Callithrix jacchus: one gene and its partners. The protein of the gene in region 4 interacts with the protein of the main gene of each other region in a pairwise test. Links are inferred from orthologs where the notes say so. Each region holds a gene or a part of one and is shown on either strand. Other genes may lie near its edges.

Region 1 (4,926 bases), on a different chromosome or scaffold from region 4:
AATAGTAGTTCACCATCACAATATTTCATTTTCTTAAGATATTTCAAAAATAGCATGAAAAAATATAATGGGTATTAGGGAGACCCCATGACTATAATCGCTTGACTTTCCTATAAATTGGAATCAGAAGGATAAAAAAATATATTTGAGAGATTCGAAGGCAAAAAATAAAAATAGAAATGGCTGGATTTTGTTTGTTTGTTTCTCTCTGTTAATCATTTCCAAAAATGTTACTTTTACTTCCATGTAACTTTAAAGGCACACTACTTTTTCCGAGTCATCAGGAAAGCATTTTTAACTTTTCTCGCCTTTGCATATTATGGTTCTCGTAGAGGCAGTTCCATCAGCTGTTTTATTCAAAAATAAAGGAATAAATAAATAAATAAATTAGATTTCCTAATTCTAAATTTCTAAATTGAATTTCTAAATTCAGTATAAGGGTATATTTTCAGGCAGTCTGCCTCTAGCCCTCATAACCAGCTTTAATTAAACCAGAGGTGATATTCTCCCTAGTCTCGGAGCCTGACCTCCTGGGCAGCTTGATTTGGCTTCTGTCTTTGGACACAGGAAGCCAGATCAACATCTGACCTATTTTTATTCCCAGGAAATCTTTAAACCTGGAAGCCTTTTTTCTCAATCTTCCCTGGGGCCATCCAACAAATCATTTCAGCAATCAAGTCTCCCTCCCTTTCCCAGTAACTTCCAAACTTTTCTGTGGTAACAGTAAAAACCACCATTTTCTAAAATTTTATTAATTTTTCCTCACCAACCTGAATGTGGTGAAAAGCATTGGCTACAGAAAGATGGGATTTGTGATTCCCTAAAGCAGTCAGGTCTCCCTTCTCTCCAAAATAAATGCCTTTTTCAGTATCCTTTGCGACAATGTGGCCAGCATCTTTCTAGAACATTCAACATCCACAGTGAATGTAGCTTAAAGAATTGGCCACAGAACCGTGGGACTCACATTATTTCCTGGAGCAGTCAGTCCTCCCTCCCTCTCCAATCCTGTTGCCTTTTCCCAGCAGCCTTTGCAACAGCATATCAATTTTTCTAAAACTTTCCCTTACCCACAGTGAATGTAGCTAGCTAAAAGGATTGGCTACAGAACTGTGGAACTCACCTAATTCTCCAGAAGAGTCAGAATTCCCTCTCCCTCCAAAATGACTGTTTTTCTCAATATCATTTGCAGCAGTATAGCCACTATTTGTTCTAGAATATTTCTTCACCCATATTGAATGTAGCTTAAAAGCATTGGCTACAAAATTGTCAGATTCACTTCACTGGATTTCTTCCTTTCTTCCTTGCTTCTTCTCTCTCTCTCTCTCTCCCCCACCCCCTTCTTTCTTTTTACAGAGTCTCTCTCTGTTGCCCAGGCTGGAGTGCAGTAGCATGATTTTGGCTCATTGCAACCTCTGCCTCCTGAGTTCAAGCGATTCTCATGCCTCAGCCTCCTGAGTAGCTGGGATTACAGGCATGTGCCACCATGCCCAGCTAATTTTTTTATTTTTAATAGAGATGGGGGTTTCACCATACTGGCCAGACTGGTCTCGAACTCCTGGCCTCAAGTGATCTGCCCATCTCCTCCTCTCAGAGTGCTGGGATTACAGGCATGAGTCACCATGCCAGGCCACTTGACTGGATTTCTTAACAGCCAGAAAGGATAGGAGCCTCACCTGACTTATTGTGTGTATACACACACGTGTACCACACACATAATTTTAAATACAGGAAAGCATTATTTCACGCAATAGATTTACAAAGTAAAGTATTTATTTACTCCCTAAGCAATATTTGTTTCAAGAATTCCGAACTCCCAAGGTTGAACCTCTAGTATAGGAAAGGATGACCGTGACCTTTAACTGGACCTTCCTTTCCTCATTTGCCAGCTCGGAACACAGGAGCTTTCTCTTCCTCCCAAGTCAATGTCTAGCCCTGACTGACCTGGTGAGGCAAGAGCCCCTACAAACAGTACTCCCAATCCCAACCTGGCCACCTTATGCTGAGGACCCCATACAGTACCATTTTCTTGGGCCGGGTGGCAGTCATATTCCAAACTGGTTTGGCTTCAGCAGAGCCTGCAGCTTTTGATTCCACCTTCTGCCTCTTCTGGGGGACACTGAGGGACCGAGATCTATGATCCATCACTTCTAGAGAGAAGAACAGAGGCCTCAGGAGCACCCACAGAAGTTATACCAGGGCTTTTTGGACACGAAACACAGCATAAAAGAAGGCAGAGGCCACAGCCTTCTCGGGAATCACTCAACACCCGTTCAACACTATCCACCAGCTGATCCCAGGCCTCAGTTTGTTCATTTGTTCAAAAGTTAATCAAGCATTTCCTGATGGCTGAGCTCGAGACTAGGTTACTCTCTATTCACTTAGAAAGCAATGATCAAGAACAAGATTCCAGCTCTCAAAGAACTGACCATCTGTTTGTGTATAAGGGGGAATGACAGGTGTACAGCAGAAAGTAATCTATCCTCGCAAATGCAGACAGAGAGACACAGGCTCCATAAACGATCAAAACATGGTAACATAGTAGAAGGAAAGGGCTCCCTCTAAAAAGTAGGAGACAAAAACTGAAGCAGGGACCTGAAAGAAATAAAGGACCCAGCCCTGGGAAATTGAGGGAAAGCACATTCCAGACAGAAGAAACAGCAAATGCAAGGTCTTTGGGGAATAAGCACGCTTGCAGCATTGTAATAACAAACATAAATGCAGTGTGATCTTGGCCCTTTTGTGAGCTATAGAAATGATATTTTCTGTCTATATCATAGCATGAAATGTTTTGAGGAGGCTGATACTATCTTATAGACTGTGGAGTTTGGACTTTCCTCTGAAGGGCAGGGAAATGAATTAGAGCATTGGGAGAGAGAATTGATCTCTGATCTTGTAATTTGAGCTCTCTGAGTATTTTGCAACAGACATGGTGGTGGCTTGGACAAGTGGGAGACAGTAGGAAAAATGCTCCCTTTTCCCTACCTCCCTTATCATCAACCCACAAATCCTCGAAGCTCCCCAACACACACATGTGCAAACACTTCCTTGCACACATGCACCTTTTCCAACACACACATGCACAGGTATAGACACGTATCTACAGAGTTGGCTATAGCCAAGTGGTATTTTAGAGGATCCTCACCTGCTATCCCCAGGTGCTCTTGGTTTTGCCCTTGGCTTCCATGATTCAGTTCTTCAGCCAGGGATATTTCTACCTCCTCCCTGGTGCTGATAGGGCCTCCTGCCATCATAACCAGCTGTTCACTTGTAAGCAATGGCTAAAAATGTGCAGGGTGCCAGAAACAGAGGAGTCACACTCAGAAAATCGCCTCTTCCAGGGACAGGAGCTCAAGGAAGATATAGTAGGACCTGGGGGTGGAGTGACACTCCCTCTCTAGGCTGAGGCCTTGGACTGAGTACCTTCTGTTCCCATTGTATCTAATTGGTTGGGTCCATGGCGTTCTCCCCTGCAACTCTGTAAGCAGCTTAGAAGAGATACAACTCCAAGCTTTTGCCTGTGAGAACTGCTCTGGCTCATGGATCTCCAGATTTAGCTCATGGGGGATCCCATCATCATTTCTAGGCAGATGCAAGGATTGGCACAGGGTCCAAGAGCCACACAGTGGCCACAGCAGAGTTAGGTCCTAGCAATCCAGGCCATACCATGCCTTCAAAAGGGATTCTCTGGAGAGCATATCCTACCTCCCATATCCAGAGTCCCCAAACACAGGAGGCAGCCTTTTTCTGAAGTCGGTCAGCCTAGGCAGGAGCCATGAGAACCAAAGGAGGGAAGGGTGAAAGAGGTGTGACCTGACTGCAGCCACTAGAACCCCAAGGGCCTCAGGCCCTGCACCTTCTAAGTTCCAATTCTCCCTCAGCTTACCTACTGACTAGACCACTGTGATGGTCAGGTTTATGAGTCACCTGGGCCAGGCACTTGCCCCTGGTGATTCCATCAAACACCGTGTAGGTGTTGCTGATGAGGCAATTTGTAGCTGTGATTGGCATCTACAACCAGTGGACTTGAAATAAAGTAGAGACTCATCCTCGATGATGTGGGTGGGTCTCACGCAATCAACTGAGAGGCCTGAAGAGCAAAGACTGAGGTTTCCAGAGAAGAGGCATTTCAACCCCAAGACTGCAGGGTCAACTCTTGCCTGAGTCTCCTGCCTGCCGGCCTGTCCTGTACATTTCAGACTTGTGAGGCCCACAGTCACATAAGCCAATTTCTTAAAATAAATTTCTCTATATTTGTGCATATGTAGATACATACATACATACATACATACATACATACATACATACATATATCCTATCAGCTCTGTTTCTCTGAAAACCCTGATTGCTACAACCACCAATGCTGAACCCTTCATTTAGGAAACAACCCCAGAGCCCCTGGGGTAATAGGAGGCTATTTGTAAAAGGAATCCTTTATAAACCTGTCCTGGTTCCTTTTCCAAATAGCCTCCTCTTCCCCCAGAGTCCCTGGGCCAAGTGGGAGGAAGAGGTGGAAGAAAGGAGGAAAAGAGGGAGGGAGGAAGGGAGGAAGGGAGATAGGTAGAAAGGGAGGGAGGGAGGGAAACAGAGAAGAAGGGGCCAGGACTAGCTGAGATAGGGCTGCTTGGTCTGAGACTGACTGCCCCCTGCCCCCATCTCACCTGTCCAGTGCTGGGGCCGAGCTCTTGGGAAGCAGAGCTGATGTAGTCCCTGCCTGCATTCCTGGGGGCCCCAAAGAAGCCCTTCTCAGCTCCAGTGGAGCAGCTGCAATGAAATTTGAGCTTTCTGGAGGGCCACCTTGGAAGCAGAGAAACTGTGGAGGGTGCTCAGTTCAGTGGGATTTAGGAGCCTGGGAAGCCCAGTCACGTTTGCCATATTGAGCAAATGAAAGTACAGGTACAAAGTACATTTAAATTTCAGGTAAAAAGC
Region 2 (4,576 bases), on a different chromosome or scaffold from region 4:
TTTTTTTTCTTTTGAGACTGAGTTTCGCTCTTGATGCTCAGGCTGGAGTGCAATCTTGGCTCACTGCAACTTCTGCCTCCCAGGTTCAAGCGATTCTCCTGCCTCAGTCTCCTGAGGGATGATGGGCACTGCCACCACGCCTGGCTAATTTTTTGTATTTTTAGTAGAGACAGGGTTTCACCACGTTGGCCAGGCTGGTCTCGAACTCCCAGGTGACCCACCTGCCTGGCCTCCCAAAGTGCTGGGATTACAGGTGTGAGCCACCATGCCTGGCCTCCTCTGGCCATTCTCAACCAAGACTGGCAGGAGCTGGCAGATTAATACCCCAGTTCCCCCCACCTTGAGAGGGATCACTGAGGTGCATCTTTGCCCCTGGCTTCCCCGAGGGCCCCAACAGGGCTGAACTCCACTTGCCCACAGCAGGAACCTGCGTTTAAGGATCCTTCTCTTTCCAGTCTCATTTCCCTCATTCCCCGACCACTGTTTCCTGGGATCACTCCCAGTTAAATCTACTTGCCCTCGAATATTGTCTTAGAGTCTGATTCTGGGGAATCCTAAACTAAAACACCCCCTTCATCTGGTTTATATCTTCATTTTATGGATGAAGGATCGGAGGCACAGGAAGGGGAGTGAATTGCCCAAGTCAGAGCCAGTGGTAGGGCCCTACTGAGAGCCCCGTTCTCCTGGTCTAGGTGTCAGCTCTGCGCAGTGTTACTTGCTGCCTCCCAAGGGCTGCCCCTGCACCTGCCCCTCCTACTTGCACCCACATGGATTCAGCATTTTATTTCCCAAAGCAAAAGAAAAGGCTGATTGCAGGTTGGAAAATCTATGGGCGTCAGAGGCAGGTGAAAGGGGATCCTCCCTAGAACTCTTGAGCTCATTTCTGGAGGTAGCCATCTCTCCTTTCTTGGTCTGGGTCATTGGACTTGGCCCTCAAGCTTCCAGGTTTACTCAGCAGTGGGACAGGCTGCTAGGGAAACCCACTCACTGGGAGCGTAGAAGGGGTTATTCAGGCAAGCAACCAGCCCCCCTCCTCTTCCCTACTTCGGGTGCCACCTCAGGGACAGTAAAAATTCACATTGCCACACTTCTAAAGAAAATAATTTAAAGTTATATTTGCTTTATACTTTTAGCGGAAAGTGCATATTCTTTCAATCTGGATTACCTGTGTTGTTTAACAGAAAGAACAGCAATGAGAAAATGACCCCTGCTTTCTAGCCACTGAAATGTTAATTCCGGGAGTTTCTACCTGCATCTTCATCCCCCTGGAACCAGAGCTCCTCCGGTTCTCTCGCTGATGCGGAGGAAAAAGCACTCTTGAAAAGTTTCTGGGTTTCACCCCTCCCACCTACTGTGCGACCTGGGGCAGTTTCTCCCTTTCTGAACCTCTGGCTCTTCATCTGTGGATGGGGATGAGGATTCCAGCCTCGCAGTGTTGCTGTCAGACGGCAGAGAAGGAAACAGCCTGGCCAGAGCAGGGCCCTCTTGCCCTTGCCTCTGCTTGGAAGGCAGCTGGGAGGGAGGGGGCTGCCCACAGGGAGGGTGTGGCCCAGGCAAAGCTCCTGCCTGTCCCTCCTCCAGGCTGCCCCTGGTGACAAGGCAGGGAACCCATGCTGAGCTCTCTGCACACAGCCCCAGTCAGGGAGCTGAAAGCCGAAGACATGAACAAGGTCTTCCCCGAGGTAAGGGCTGCCTGGACCAGGCTCCTGATCTTGGGAGAGCAAACCTTGGGATGAGGAGTGTGGGCAGTAGAGAGTGGGCATACATGGGAGACATGGAGGAAAATCAGCCCCCGTCCTGGCCCGGGGCTCACTCCCAGGGTGTAGGGGGCCCTACCAGTGACCCAGCTGTAGAGTCCAGGTGGCAAGTGCTGGGACGGACACAGAGGAGCCGGGTGGACAGGAAGGGAGAGCGTTAGCTTTACTGGGTATCAGGGAAAGCTTCACCGAGGAGTCGCTGCCCACGCCAGTTTGAAGGATGAATATTTGCCAGGTGGACAGCAGAGGAAAAGGCGCCCCAGACAGAGGGCCCAGTGCAGGCAAAGGTGTGGAAATGGGAAGCCGGCATGAGGCATCTGGGGCGTTGAGCGTGCTGGGGTGTGAGGGAGCCACGGTGCCACCGAAGACTCTCGGTGACCCCTTCTGAAAGCCCTGCTGTCTGCCTCCCTGAGGCTGGACCTCACCTCACCTAAGCCCACCCCTCACTCTGTTCTCTTGGGCAGGGAGAGAATGGCCGCATTGCTGCTGGACCCAAGGCCCTCCCTGGAGGGGAAGGTAAAGAACTGAAGGGCCCAGGGCCAGTGCCCTGTGGGGCTCCCTTGAAGCTGGCAGTTGGCTATAGAGGCATGAGGAAGGTTGGAGGATTCCAGGCTCCCGCTGCCCCTCAGACCTCTGCCCCATGTTAATGTTGTCTGCTCCCAGCTTCCTGGTCAGATGCTGACAGTCACTTGCTTAATAGGGTTATTCATTCTCTCCATGCACACATATTTATTAAGCACCTACTGTGTGCTGCCGACCTCACAGGCACCAAACTGCATTCAGTGCCCACCTGTAATACAGCATCAAACTGACTCAGTGGGTGACCTGGACAATTCTCTTTACCTCTGAGACACATTTATTTAGCCCTACTATGTGCCGCTGGCCCACAGTGTGACCAGAACAGTTCTCTTTACCCTTCTGAAGATAGAAGGAAGAAACAGACATGTATTGAGCATTGTATATGCCCTGGCGTGGCCCACATTTGATCAATGAGGAGACACACCCAGAGAGGTAGATGAAAATACCAACTATAAAGGACCCAGTACAGTTATGTGCCTGGCACTGCATGGCCCCTTTAATCCCCAGGACAGCTCTGAGACAGGGGCTCTGTCATGGGGCAATCACAGATAAGGCAGCTGAAACTAAGAGAAGTTGGGTAACCAGGCCAAGGTCATACAGCGGGGAGGCCGGAGGGCCAGGGTTCAAATGTGAACTGAGGTCTCTCTGGTTACAAAGCCCCAGGGCTTTTGTTGCCGCATACCGGTGTTTGTTTTTTTCCAAGTCCTGACTCATGACGGGTGTGGTTGTGGCAAGAATAGCCTCCTTTTCCTCATCTGTGCAGGGAAGGGACTGGCACCTAAGGGCTTTCTGGCTTTGAAGCGCAACAGCTTCACCTGGGCAGGAGCCTTGGTTCTGCCGGTTCTCCCGTGGCAACATCTTGCACGTGGTCTGTGCTGCACAAATATTTGAGGAGCTGCTTGGCTGACCAGCACACCTCTCCCTGCCCAGAGTCACGCTGCCTCCCTGGTTACCTGAGTTTACCCTGTTTGCTGACGGCCACAGAGCCACCAGCTAGGGCTGTAGGGATGACGGGGTTTTAGATTCCTGCTGCCTTGAATACCATCGTATCCCTCCCAGCGCACATCCATCCTGGAGCCCCGCCACGCCAGGCCACTTGTGCTCCCCCACCTGCAACCACCAGACCTTTCCACTTGCCACGCCCTCTGCCTGGAAGCCCCTTTCTTTGCACCATTCCCTTACCTGCCTGTGGAAATCCCACCCGGCTTCTGAGGACCCTGCATCAGAAATGTGAATGGATTGAAAATAACTGACCCATAGTGGGGGCCTTCCCTTGTCTCCTGGACCCCTGGGCTAGCATATTCACAGAGTGTTCACAAATCTCTGGGCCTGGCACGGTGGCTCACACCGGTAATCCCAGCACTTTGGGAGGCCAAGGTAGGTGACCACCTGAGGTCAGGAGTTGGAGACCAGCCTAGCCAACAGGGTGAAACCCCATCTCTACTGAAAATACAAAACTTGGCCAGATGTGGTGGCAGCCACCTGTTATCCCAGCTACTTGGGGGGCTGAGGCAAGAGAATCTCCTGAACCTGGGAGGCAGAGGTTGCAGTGAGCCGAGATCATGCCACCGCATTTCAGCCTGAGCAATAGAACGAGACTCCATCTCAAAAAAAAAGAACCCCCCCGCAAAAAAAAAGCTCCCACCATGTGCCTGGCTCTGGGCTGGGTCCTGGGGTCACAGGGTGAATCATACCTGCCCCTGCCCCTTTCTCTGAGGTACCTGTGGCCTGGGCAGGTCAGTAGCTCCCACGCTCCTTCAGACATGTCCATGCTTTGCCTTCTAAGTGCAATAACAAGCTGCAGAGGGCAAGGACCAGAGCTGGAGCCACACAGCGGGGCACCAGGAGGTCCTTAGTAAAGGCTTCTGTTATTATTTTGTAAGCAGGAGAGAATTAAAGTACAGTTTTACAAGAGCAGGGACATCCCCTATCACTGTGATTTCCAGTGCTTAGAATAAAGCTTGGCACGTGGCAAGTCCTCAACAAGCAATAACAGCCCAGACACAGCAGTGCGCAGCTGTTACAGGACTTTGGGAGGCCGAGGCAGGAGGACTGTTTGAGCCCAGGACTTAGAGTGTGCAGTGAACTATGATTGCACCACTGCATTCCAGCCTGGGCAACAGAGCCGGACCCTATCTCTAAAATTAAAAAAAAATTTTTTTAAGCAATAATAATAGCTCATATTCATCATTTACTATGTGCCAAGCACTGTTCTAACACATTAACTCAACAAATTCTAA
Region 3 (3,385 bases), on a different chromosome or scaffold from region 4:
GCCCCGTGGGGTTGGTCTGTGTGGGGAAAGGGTGTGTGTCCTGTGTGTTGTGGGTGAGGTGTCCCTGGCCTGGGGTCCCCCAGAGGCCTCAGAGGGCTGTGGCACCCCCCTTCCCAGGCCGCATGACTACTCCGCAGATGGGTTTAATGACTGGGCCTTCATGACAACTCACGCCTGGGATGAAGATCCCTCTGGCGAGTGGATCCTAGAGATTGAAAACACCAGTGAAGCCAACAACTATGGTACTGGGGGCACTTGAGGGGCAGGGGTACGAGGAGGGCTGGCAGGACCTGGGGCGCTGGGCATGGTGCCAGCACTATCCCACTTTTGCCTACTTCCCTCTCTGGAATAGGGACGTTGACCAAGTTCACCCTCGTGCTCTATGGCACAGCTCCTGAGGGGCTGCCTGTACCTCCTGAAAGCAGCGGCTGCAAGACCCTCACATCCAGCCAGGCCTGTGTGGGTCAGTAGTGGGTACTGTTGGGCTTTGGGGGCCTGAGTCTAGGGGGAAGGCGGGTGCTTGTCCTGAATCCCAGCTTTAAGAGAAAAAGGTCTCAAGAGACCTGGGGTGCTTGGGATAACCACAGTCCTGGGGCTGGGGAAGCCTGGGGGTGTGGTGAGTTGCCCTGGGGCAGCTGTGGCCCTATGGCTACAGTCTCTGTAGCTGACACACACTCACCCTCTCTCCTACGCCGACAGTGTGTGAGGAAGGCTTCTCCCTGCACCAGAAGAGCTGCGTGCAGCACTGCCCTCCAGGTTTTGCCCCCCAAGTTCTGGATACACACTATAGCACCGAGAATGATGTGGAGACCATCCGGGCCAGCATCTGCGCCCCCTGCCATGCCTCATGTGCCACATGCCAGGGACCGGCCCCCACAGACTGCCTCAGCTGCCCCAGCCACGCCTCTTTGGACCCTGTGGAGCAAACTTGCTCCCGGCAAAGCCAGAGCAGCCGAGAGTCCCCGCCAGAGCAGCAGCCACCACCCCGGCTGCCCCCAGAGGTGGAGGAGGAGCCGCGGCTGCGGGCAGGCCTGCTGCCCTCTCACCTGCCTGAGGTGGTGGCCGGCCTCAGCTGCGCCTTCATCGTGCTGGTCTTCGTCACTGTCTTCCTGGTCCTGCAGCTGCGCTCTGGCTTTAGCTTCCGGGGGGTGAAGGTGTACACCATGGACCGTGGCCTCATCTCCTATAAGGGGCTGCCCCCTGAAGCCTGGCAGGAGGAGTGTCCATCCGACTCAGAAGAGGATGAGGGCCGGGGCGAGAGGACCGCCTTTATCAAAGACCAGAGCGCCCTCTGATGAGCCCACTGCCCACCCCCTCAAGCCAATCCCCTCCTTGGGCACTTTTTAATTCACCAAAGTATTTTTTTATCTTGGGACTGGGTTTGGACCCCAGCTGGGAGGCAAGAGGGGTGGAGACTGCTTCCCATCCTACCCTCAGTGCCCCCTCCATGTGGAGAAAGGAGTGAAACCTTCAGGGCAGCCAGCCCCGGCCACAGCCAGAGTTCCTGCGGAGTGAAGATGGGCAGCCCTTGCTTGTTGGGATTCCTGACCCAGGCCACCGCTCTTGCCCTTCCCTGTCCCTCTAAAGCAATAATGGTCCCCATCCAGGCAGTTGGGAGGCTGGCCTGGGAGGCATTTGTGGGAGGAGGCCACCTCTCCAAGGGCTTTCGCATCCTCCACCCTGTCCCCTAGCTCTAGTGAGTCTTGGCGGCAGCAGCCATCATAGGAAGGGACCAAGGCAAGGCAGGTGCCTCTGGGTGTGCACGTGGCCAGTGTCCCCTGGCCCACCTTGTGCTCCATGTCTCCACAACCACTGGCTGCCAGGTTGGCACAGCTAAGGCGGAAGCTGTCAGAACCCTGTGCTGGTGTCCTCGCCACCCTCCCTTCTCTTGCACCCGCCTCTCTGGTTGGGGCCCAAGTCCCTGTTTTCTGAGCCCGGGCTGCCTGAGCTGTTGGCACTCACAGACCTGGAGCCCCTGGGTGGGTGGTGGGGAGGGGCGGTGGCCCAGCCAGCCTCTCTGGCCTCCCACCCGATGCTGCTTTCCCCTGTGGGGATCTCAGGGGCTGTTTGAGGATATATTTTCACTTTGTGATGATTTCACTTTAGATGCTGATGATTTGTTTTGTATTTTTAATGGGGGTAGCAGCTGGACTACCCACCTTCTCACACCCACCGTCCACCATGCTCCTCCTTGGCTGCCCTGGCCCTGAGCTGTGGGGGCTGCAGCATGTTCTGAGGAGTGAGGAAAAGTTGAGCCCCAAGTCCTGAAGAGGCAGGCCAGCCAGGTGGGCTGGAGGAAAGGGGGTCCCCTGGTGGGAGGGCAGGCTAACATCTGTTTTCAAGTGGGGCTCGCCAAGCCAAGGGCCCAGAGGTCACTGGCTCTCCAAGTGCCAGGGGTGGGCAGGTGGTGACACTCAGCCCCCTCAACACTGTGCCCTGGTGGAGAAAGCACTGACCTGGCAAGCCCCCCAAAACCCCTCTTCTGACGTGCCTTTTGCACCCCTCCCATTAGGACAATCAGTCCCCTCCAACCTGGGAGCCCCCTTTTCTTTCCCCTAGCCATTCCTGGTACCCAGCCACCTGCCCAGGGGTGCCCCCTCCTCCCATCCCCCCACCCTCTTGGCCAGCCCGGCTGGTTTTGTAAGACACTGGGTTGGTGCACAGTGATTTTTTTCTTGTAATTTAAACAGGCCCAGCATTGTTGGTTCTATTTAATGGACACGAGATAATGTTAGAGGTTTTAAAGTGATTAAACGTGCAGACTATGCAAACCAGGGCCAGTCTCCAGTGTGGTACCATTGCCCCTTCATGGCGGCTGGGGGCCAGTTAGGCCTTCGCAGTGGCCAGCCTGCCTGGATGTGGGCTTGAGTCAGACGGCCAAAGTCCTCCAAGGGGTTGGAGGTTGTACCAGCCCTAGTGGAAGGAGGCAGCCCCCTGGGGTGGGGCCGGTGACCCCTGAACCTTAGGAGCTGAGCAGAGAGCACTTCCAAAGGACTTGTCTCCAGCAGTGTGAAGAGCAACTGGGCATATTGTGCCTTCCTGGGCTGAAGTGACCTGGCTGCCAGGGCTATGGGGCTGAGGCCTAAAGCGGGGGCCTAGCTGAACCAAGACTACTTGCTAGGGGAAGCCAGAGTCCCACATGGAAAACTCTGCACCTCTCCACCCACCAGCCCCTGCCCTCTGAATGCCCTAGGCCTCCCTTAGGACAGGAAGCCCCTGCCTGGGGGTAGGAGGATGGAGTCGGAGCCACCAGGGCCTGTCCCTGAGAAGCAGCCTCTGTTCGGGATATTTACTTGGAAATTTTATTCAAATAGAAGCTGGCGCCTGAGCCTCTCCTTAGGGAATACCATGAGGTGGGGAGAGCTGGCCCAGGGTTCCCTGGTCC
Region 4 (4,769 bases):
AGGGATTACAGGCGTAAACCACTGCGCCCAGCCAAGCTGCAGTCATTTTTCAATCCTCAATCGGTATAAGAACAGTGTGGGAGAGCCACATCTCTCGATCCTCCAATCCTGGTCGGCCAGCCCCTGTGGTGGGCATTAGAAATGTTTAGATGCTAGAAGTCCACGCAAACCACAGATGCCCAGGCCTGGAAGAGGCCAAACTTGAGGCTGGACACAAAGAGAGGGTGACTGCAGGTTGGACTCAACTCCGGGGCTGCTGGAATGGGAAAGTGAGCTGATGCCTCCAGCACAACGTGGCCACTACCCAGGAGATTTCTTTATTTCTTTTGCCTTTTTTTTTCTTTTTTCTTTTTGGTGAGGACAGAGTTTCACTCTTGTTGCCCAGGGTAGAGTGCAATGGCACGATCTCAGCTCCTCAGCTTCAAGCGATTCTTCTGTCTCAGCCTCCAGAGTAGCTGGGATTACAGGTGCCCACCACTACGCCCAGCTAATTTTTTGTATTTTTAGTAGAGACAGGGTTTCACCATGCTGGCCAGGCTGGCCTCAAACTCCTGACCCCACCTGCCTCGGCCTTCCAAAGTGCTGAGGTTATAGGCTTGAATCACTGTGTGCCTGGCCTATTTCTTTTCTTTCGTCTGTTTTTTTGTTTTTGAGGCGGGGTCTCACTCTGTCACCCACAAGGCTGGAGGGCAGTGGAGCAATCACAGCTCTACCACCCCAGTTCAGGTGATCCTACCACCTCAGCTTCCTAAGTAGCTCTGCACACCACCAAGCCCTGCTAATTTTTATAGAGATGGTGTTTTGCCATGTTTTGCCCAGGCTGGTCCTGAACTCCTGGGTTCCAGTGATCTGCCGGCCTCAGCCTCACAAAATATTGGGATTACAGGCATGAGCCACCACTCCCAGCCTGGAGATAGATCGCATTGAGTCTTCACAACAAACCAATAATTATACCCTATAATGTGGGGAGAGGCTGAGGCTCAGAGAGAGGCACCTATTTCCCCACAATCAGACAGCTAGGAATGGGTGGTATCAGAATTCAAACTTAAAACACTCCAGGGAGTGGGTCTGGACCTCAAGAGACCTTGATTCTTTAACTCCTGGCTCTCCTGGCTCTGCCACCGATGCTGGGTATCCTGGTTCAAGTCACTTTGCTTCTCTGGGCCTCATTCTAATGATGGAGCTAGTGGACTGTGTTTGTGGAGGGGTCTACTGAGAAGAAGCCTCCAGGCTGAATTCATCAAGTAATTCATCCTTGGCTAGGCTTGTTTGGGGTGACACTGAGGCCCCCACCCCAGTCTTTTTCATACCTGCCCAGCCTCCTTTTCCTGAAGGTAGGAAACAGAGGGCCCTAAAACTTCCTGCAGTGTGATCTCAGACAGCTGTTTTACTCTCTCAGCCGCAGTATTCTCATCTATAAAATGGGCGTTATAGGCTGGGTGCAGTGGCTCACAGCTGTAATCCCAGCAGGTTTGGGAGCTCGTCGAAGGTGGATCATTTGAGGCCAGGAGTTTGAGACCAGCCTGGCCAACATGATGAAACCCTGTCTTGGCTAAAAAGACAAAAATTAGCTGGGCATGATGGTAGGCGCCTGTAATCTCAGCTACTTGGGAGGCTAAGGCGGGAGAATCGCTGGAACCTGGGAGGCAGATGTTGCAGTGAGCTGTAATCGTGCCACTGCCTGGGCAACAGAGAGGTTCCATCTAAAAAAAAAAAAAAAAAAAAAAAACAGGAGGAAGGAGGCTGGGTGCAGTGGCTCATGCCTGTAATCCCAGCACTTTGGGAGGCTGAGGCAAGTGAATCACTTGACATCAGGAGTTCAAGACCAGCCTGGCCAATATGTCAAAACCCCGTCTCTACTAAAAATACAAACATTTGCTGGGCATGGTGGTGCCTGCCTGAAATCCCCGCCAATTGGGAGGCTGAAACAGGAGAATCGCTTGAACTTGGGAGGTGAAGGTTGCAGTGAGCCAAGATTGCACCACTGCACTCCAGCCTGGGTGACAAAGTAAGACTCTGTTCCAAAAACTTTTTTAAAAAGAGGGGGCATCATAATGATATGTAGTTCATAATACTAGCTCTTTATTTTTTCTTTTAAATGGAGTCCTGCTCTGTTCACAAGGCTGGAGTGCAGTGGCGTGATCTCGTCTCACTGCAATCTCCGCCTCCCAGTATTAAGTGATTCTCCTGCCTCAGCCTCCTGAGTAGCTGGGATTACAGGGCTGCACCACTGCACCTGGCTAATTTTTGTTTTAGTAGAGACGGGGTTTCGCCATGTTGGTCAGGCTGGTCTTGAACTCCTGATCTTGTGATCTGCCCACCTTGGTCTCCCAAAGTGCTGGAATTAGAAGTGTGAGCCACCTCGCCCGGCCAATATTAGCTTTTATTCTAACAACTATGATCAGTTTACAGAGCTGTTGATGAGAGGTCACACAATCAGTAAGTGCTCAATAAAAGCTCACTATTAATATTTTTTAGGGTAAATGTGGAGGCTGTCATTGCATTCATTTCTATTCCCTCACCATAGAGAGGCTCTTGTGCATCCTTCAGTTCTTTTAGGCCTGCATGAGAAGGGAGGTTCCAATCCCAGCTCTACTCCTTATGTGCTGTGTGGCCCTAGGCAAGACACTTAACCTCTCTGAGCCTGGACTCTCTCACCTGTATTAGAGGGGACATTTCTAGTGCTTCCACCTAGTCAGTATGGTTTCAAAAGAACTGAATGAGCTCATCATACCCATTCTGACTACCCTGTTTTGAGCACCGACACAGCACAGGGCATCCTGTTTGAAGATCTTTGTGCAAAGTGGCTGGCTCATTATATTCTAACTTACTATTTTGTAGGCAGAGCCACTCTGAGAAGAAGGTTGGGGAAGGGCATTGGCCACTTGGTAGTTGCCTACTGTGTGCCAAGCGCTCTCTGCACCAGCCAACCTTCTGAATCCTCCCAGAAGCCCTATGAGGTTGATAATGGGATGACCCGGTTTTACAGGTGGGGAAACCAAGGCTCGAAGAGGCGCCTACTGTGTGCCGGACCCCGGGGACCTTCCACCGGCTTTGACAAGGGAACTGGGGTCCCCGCGTCCCCAAGAAAGCTGTGGCCAAGGGATCCAGCCCAGCCGTCCCTCCCGGGTACCGAGCTCCGGCCTCGAACCCGGGGCCGGCGCGCGGACTGGCGTCCTCCGGCCCTACCTGCAGGCCCGTGCCTACCTGATCCGCGGCCGGGCCGGGCGGCCACACAGGCCCCTCCGTTTGCCCCGGCCCGGGTCCCGGCCCGGCCCGGCACGTCGGCGCCACTAGGTCCGCTCCGGCCGGCACCTGCGTCCGGGCACCGCCCGCCGAGCCGACAGCTCCGCGGGCCAATAGCGACCGCCTTTCGCCCGCACTTGCCAATCGCCATGCACGTCCCGCCCCGAGAGGCGGGGCCGGAGGCGACGGGGGACGCCCTGGGCCGCAGAGGCCCAGCTGCGCCGCTGCTGCGGGCCCCGCCCCTGCCGCGTCTTGGCTCCGCCCACAGCACTGGCCCCGCCCCCTCCCCGCCCCAGGCGCCAGGGGTGCTGCTGCGCCACCTGCAGACCGCCGGCGTTCTCTAATCAATAAACCCGCAGCAGAATTCAACTTTTTTTTTTAGACTGGCCGGGCGCAGTAATCCCAGCACTCTGGGAGGCCGAGACGGATCACTGGAGCCCAGAAGATGGGGACCAGTTTGGACAACATAGTGAGATTAATTTGAGATCCCGTCTCTACAAACAATTTAAAAGTGGTGGGCGGATGGCCTGAGGTCAGGGGTTCAAGACCAGCCTGGCCAACATGGTGAAATCCCGTCTCTACTAAAAATACAAAAATTAGCCAATGCGGTGGCAGGCGCCTGTAATTCCAGCTACTCGGGAGGCTGAAGCAGGAGAATCGCTTGAACCCAGGTGGCAGAGGTTGCAGCAAGCCGAGATCGTGCCACTGCACTCCAGCCTAGACAACAGAGTAAGACTGTCTCAAAATCCAAAAATTTACCAGTAAGTTAGCCAACCATGGTGGCGCGGGACTGTAGTCCCAGCTGCTCAGGAGGCTGAGGCAAGAGGATCACCTGAGCCCAGGAGTTCAAGGCCAGCCTCGGCAACATAGCAAACTCACCTCCCCACATCTCTAAGACATATCGATTTTTCTAAAAAAGACTGCACTATATATTTTCTAAGTATAAGCACACTTTTGCACATAATCACAGTATAACATTCAAAATCAGAAAATTAATGTTCATCTAATATTATGATGTAATTCCCAGAACCCATTCAAAGGCTGGGCATAGTGACTCATGCCTGTAATCTCAGCATTTGGATCACTTGAGGTTAGGGGTTTGAGACCAGCCTGGCCAACATGGAGAAACCGTCTCTACTAAAAAAACGAAAAAAAAATTAGCTGGGTTTGGTGGCGAGCACCTGTAATTCCAGCTACTCATAAGGCCAAGGCAGGAGAATCACTTGAACCTGCGAGGCCGAGGTTGCAGTGAGCAGAGATCTTGCCATTGCACGCTAGCCTGGGCAACAGAGCCCAGGCTCCATCTCAAAAAAAAAAAAAAAAAAAAAGTTTTCAATAAAGTCCTTTAAAAATCTAAAATCCAGACCAGGCACAGTGACTCATGTCTGTAATCCCAGCTCATTGGGAGCCCAAGGCAGGAAGGTCTCTGGGGTCCAGGAATGTGAGATCAGCCTGGGCAACATAGTGAAACCCCATCTCTACAAAGTAAAATAAAAATATTAGCCAGGTGTGGTGGCATGCTC

Evidence for each region.
Region 1: the proteins of MARCHF2 (region 4) and FATE1 interact in binary tests that used the Homo sapiens proteins (3 or more experiments, as listed by UniProt). The two-hybrid records come from large-scale screens. The link is inferred for Callithrix jacchus from reciprocal best matches to the Homo sapiens genes MARCHF2 and FATE1.
Region 2: the proteins of MARCHF2 (region 4) and LDLRAD1 interact in binary tests that used the Homo sapiens proteins (3 or more experiments, as listed by UniProt). The two-hybrid records come from large-scale screens. The link is inferred for Callithrix jacchus from reciprocal best matches to the Homo sapiens genes MARCHF2 and LDLRAD1.
Region 3: the proteins of MARCHF2 (region 4) and FURIN interact in a protein complementation assay, tested with the Homo sapiens proteins (2 studies listed by BioGRID). The link is inferred for Callithrix jacchus from reciprocal best matches to the Homo sapiens genes MARCHF2 and FURIN.

Annotation. Positions count from the first base shown.
Region 1 is NC_133524.1:148,013,187-148,018,112, reverse strand, and holds the start of FATE1 (fetal and adult testis-expressed transcript protein), read right to left. Parts: upstream 3,334-4,926; 5' UTR 3,252-3,333; coding exon 3,143-3,251; intron 2,148-3,142; coding exon 2,020-2,147; intron 1-2,019. UniProt on the Homo sapiens protein: Involved in the regulation of endoplasmic reticulum (ER)-mitochondria coupling. Negatively regulates the ER-mitochondria distance and Ca(2+) transfer from ER to mitochondria possibly implicating it in the regulation of apoptosis.
Region 2 is NC_133508.1:91,206,101-91,210,676, reverse strand, and holds the start of LDLRAD1 (low-density lipoprotein receptor class A domain-containing protein 1), read left to right. Parts: upstream 1-1,624; 5' UTR 1,625-1,661; coding exon 1,662-1,682; intron 1,683-2,221; coding exon 2,222-2,273; intron 2,274-4,576.
Region 3 is NC_133507.1:19,548,665-19,552,049, reverse strand, and holds the end of FURIN (furin), read left to right. Parts: intron 1-117; coding exon 118-242; intron 243-352; coding exon 353-463; intron 464-699; coding exon 700-1,295; 3' UTR 1,296-2,776; downstream 2,777-3,385. UniProt on the Homo sapiens protein: Ubiquitous endoprotease within constitutive secretory pathways capable of cleavage at the RX(K/R)R consensus motif. Mediates processing of TGFB1, an essential step in TGF-beta-1 activation.
Region 4 is NC_133523.1:7,934,618-7,939,386, reverse strand, and holds the start of MARCHF2 (E3 ubiquitin-protein ligase MARCHF2), read right to left. Parts: upstream 3,335-4,769; 5' UTR 3,208-3,334; intron 1-3,207. UniProt on the Homo sapiens protein: E3 ubiquitin-protein ligase that may mediate ubiquitination of TFRC and CD86, and promote their subsequent endocytosis and sorting to lysosomes via multivesicular bodies.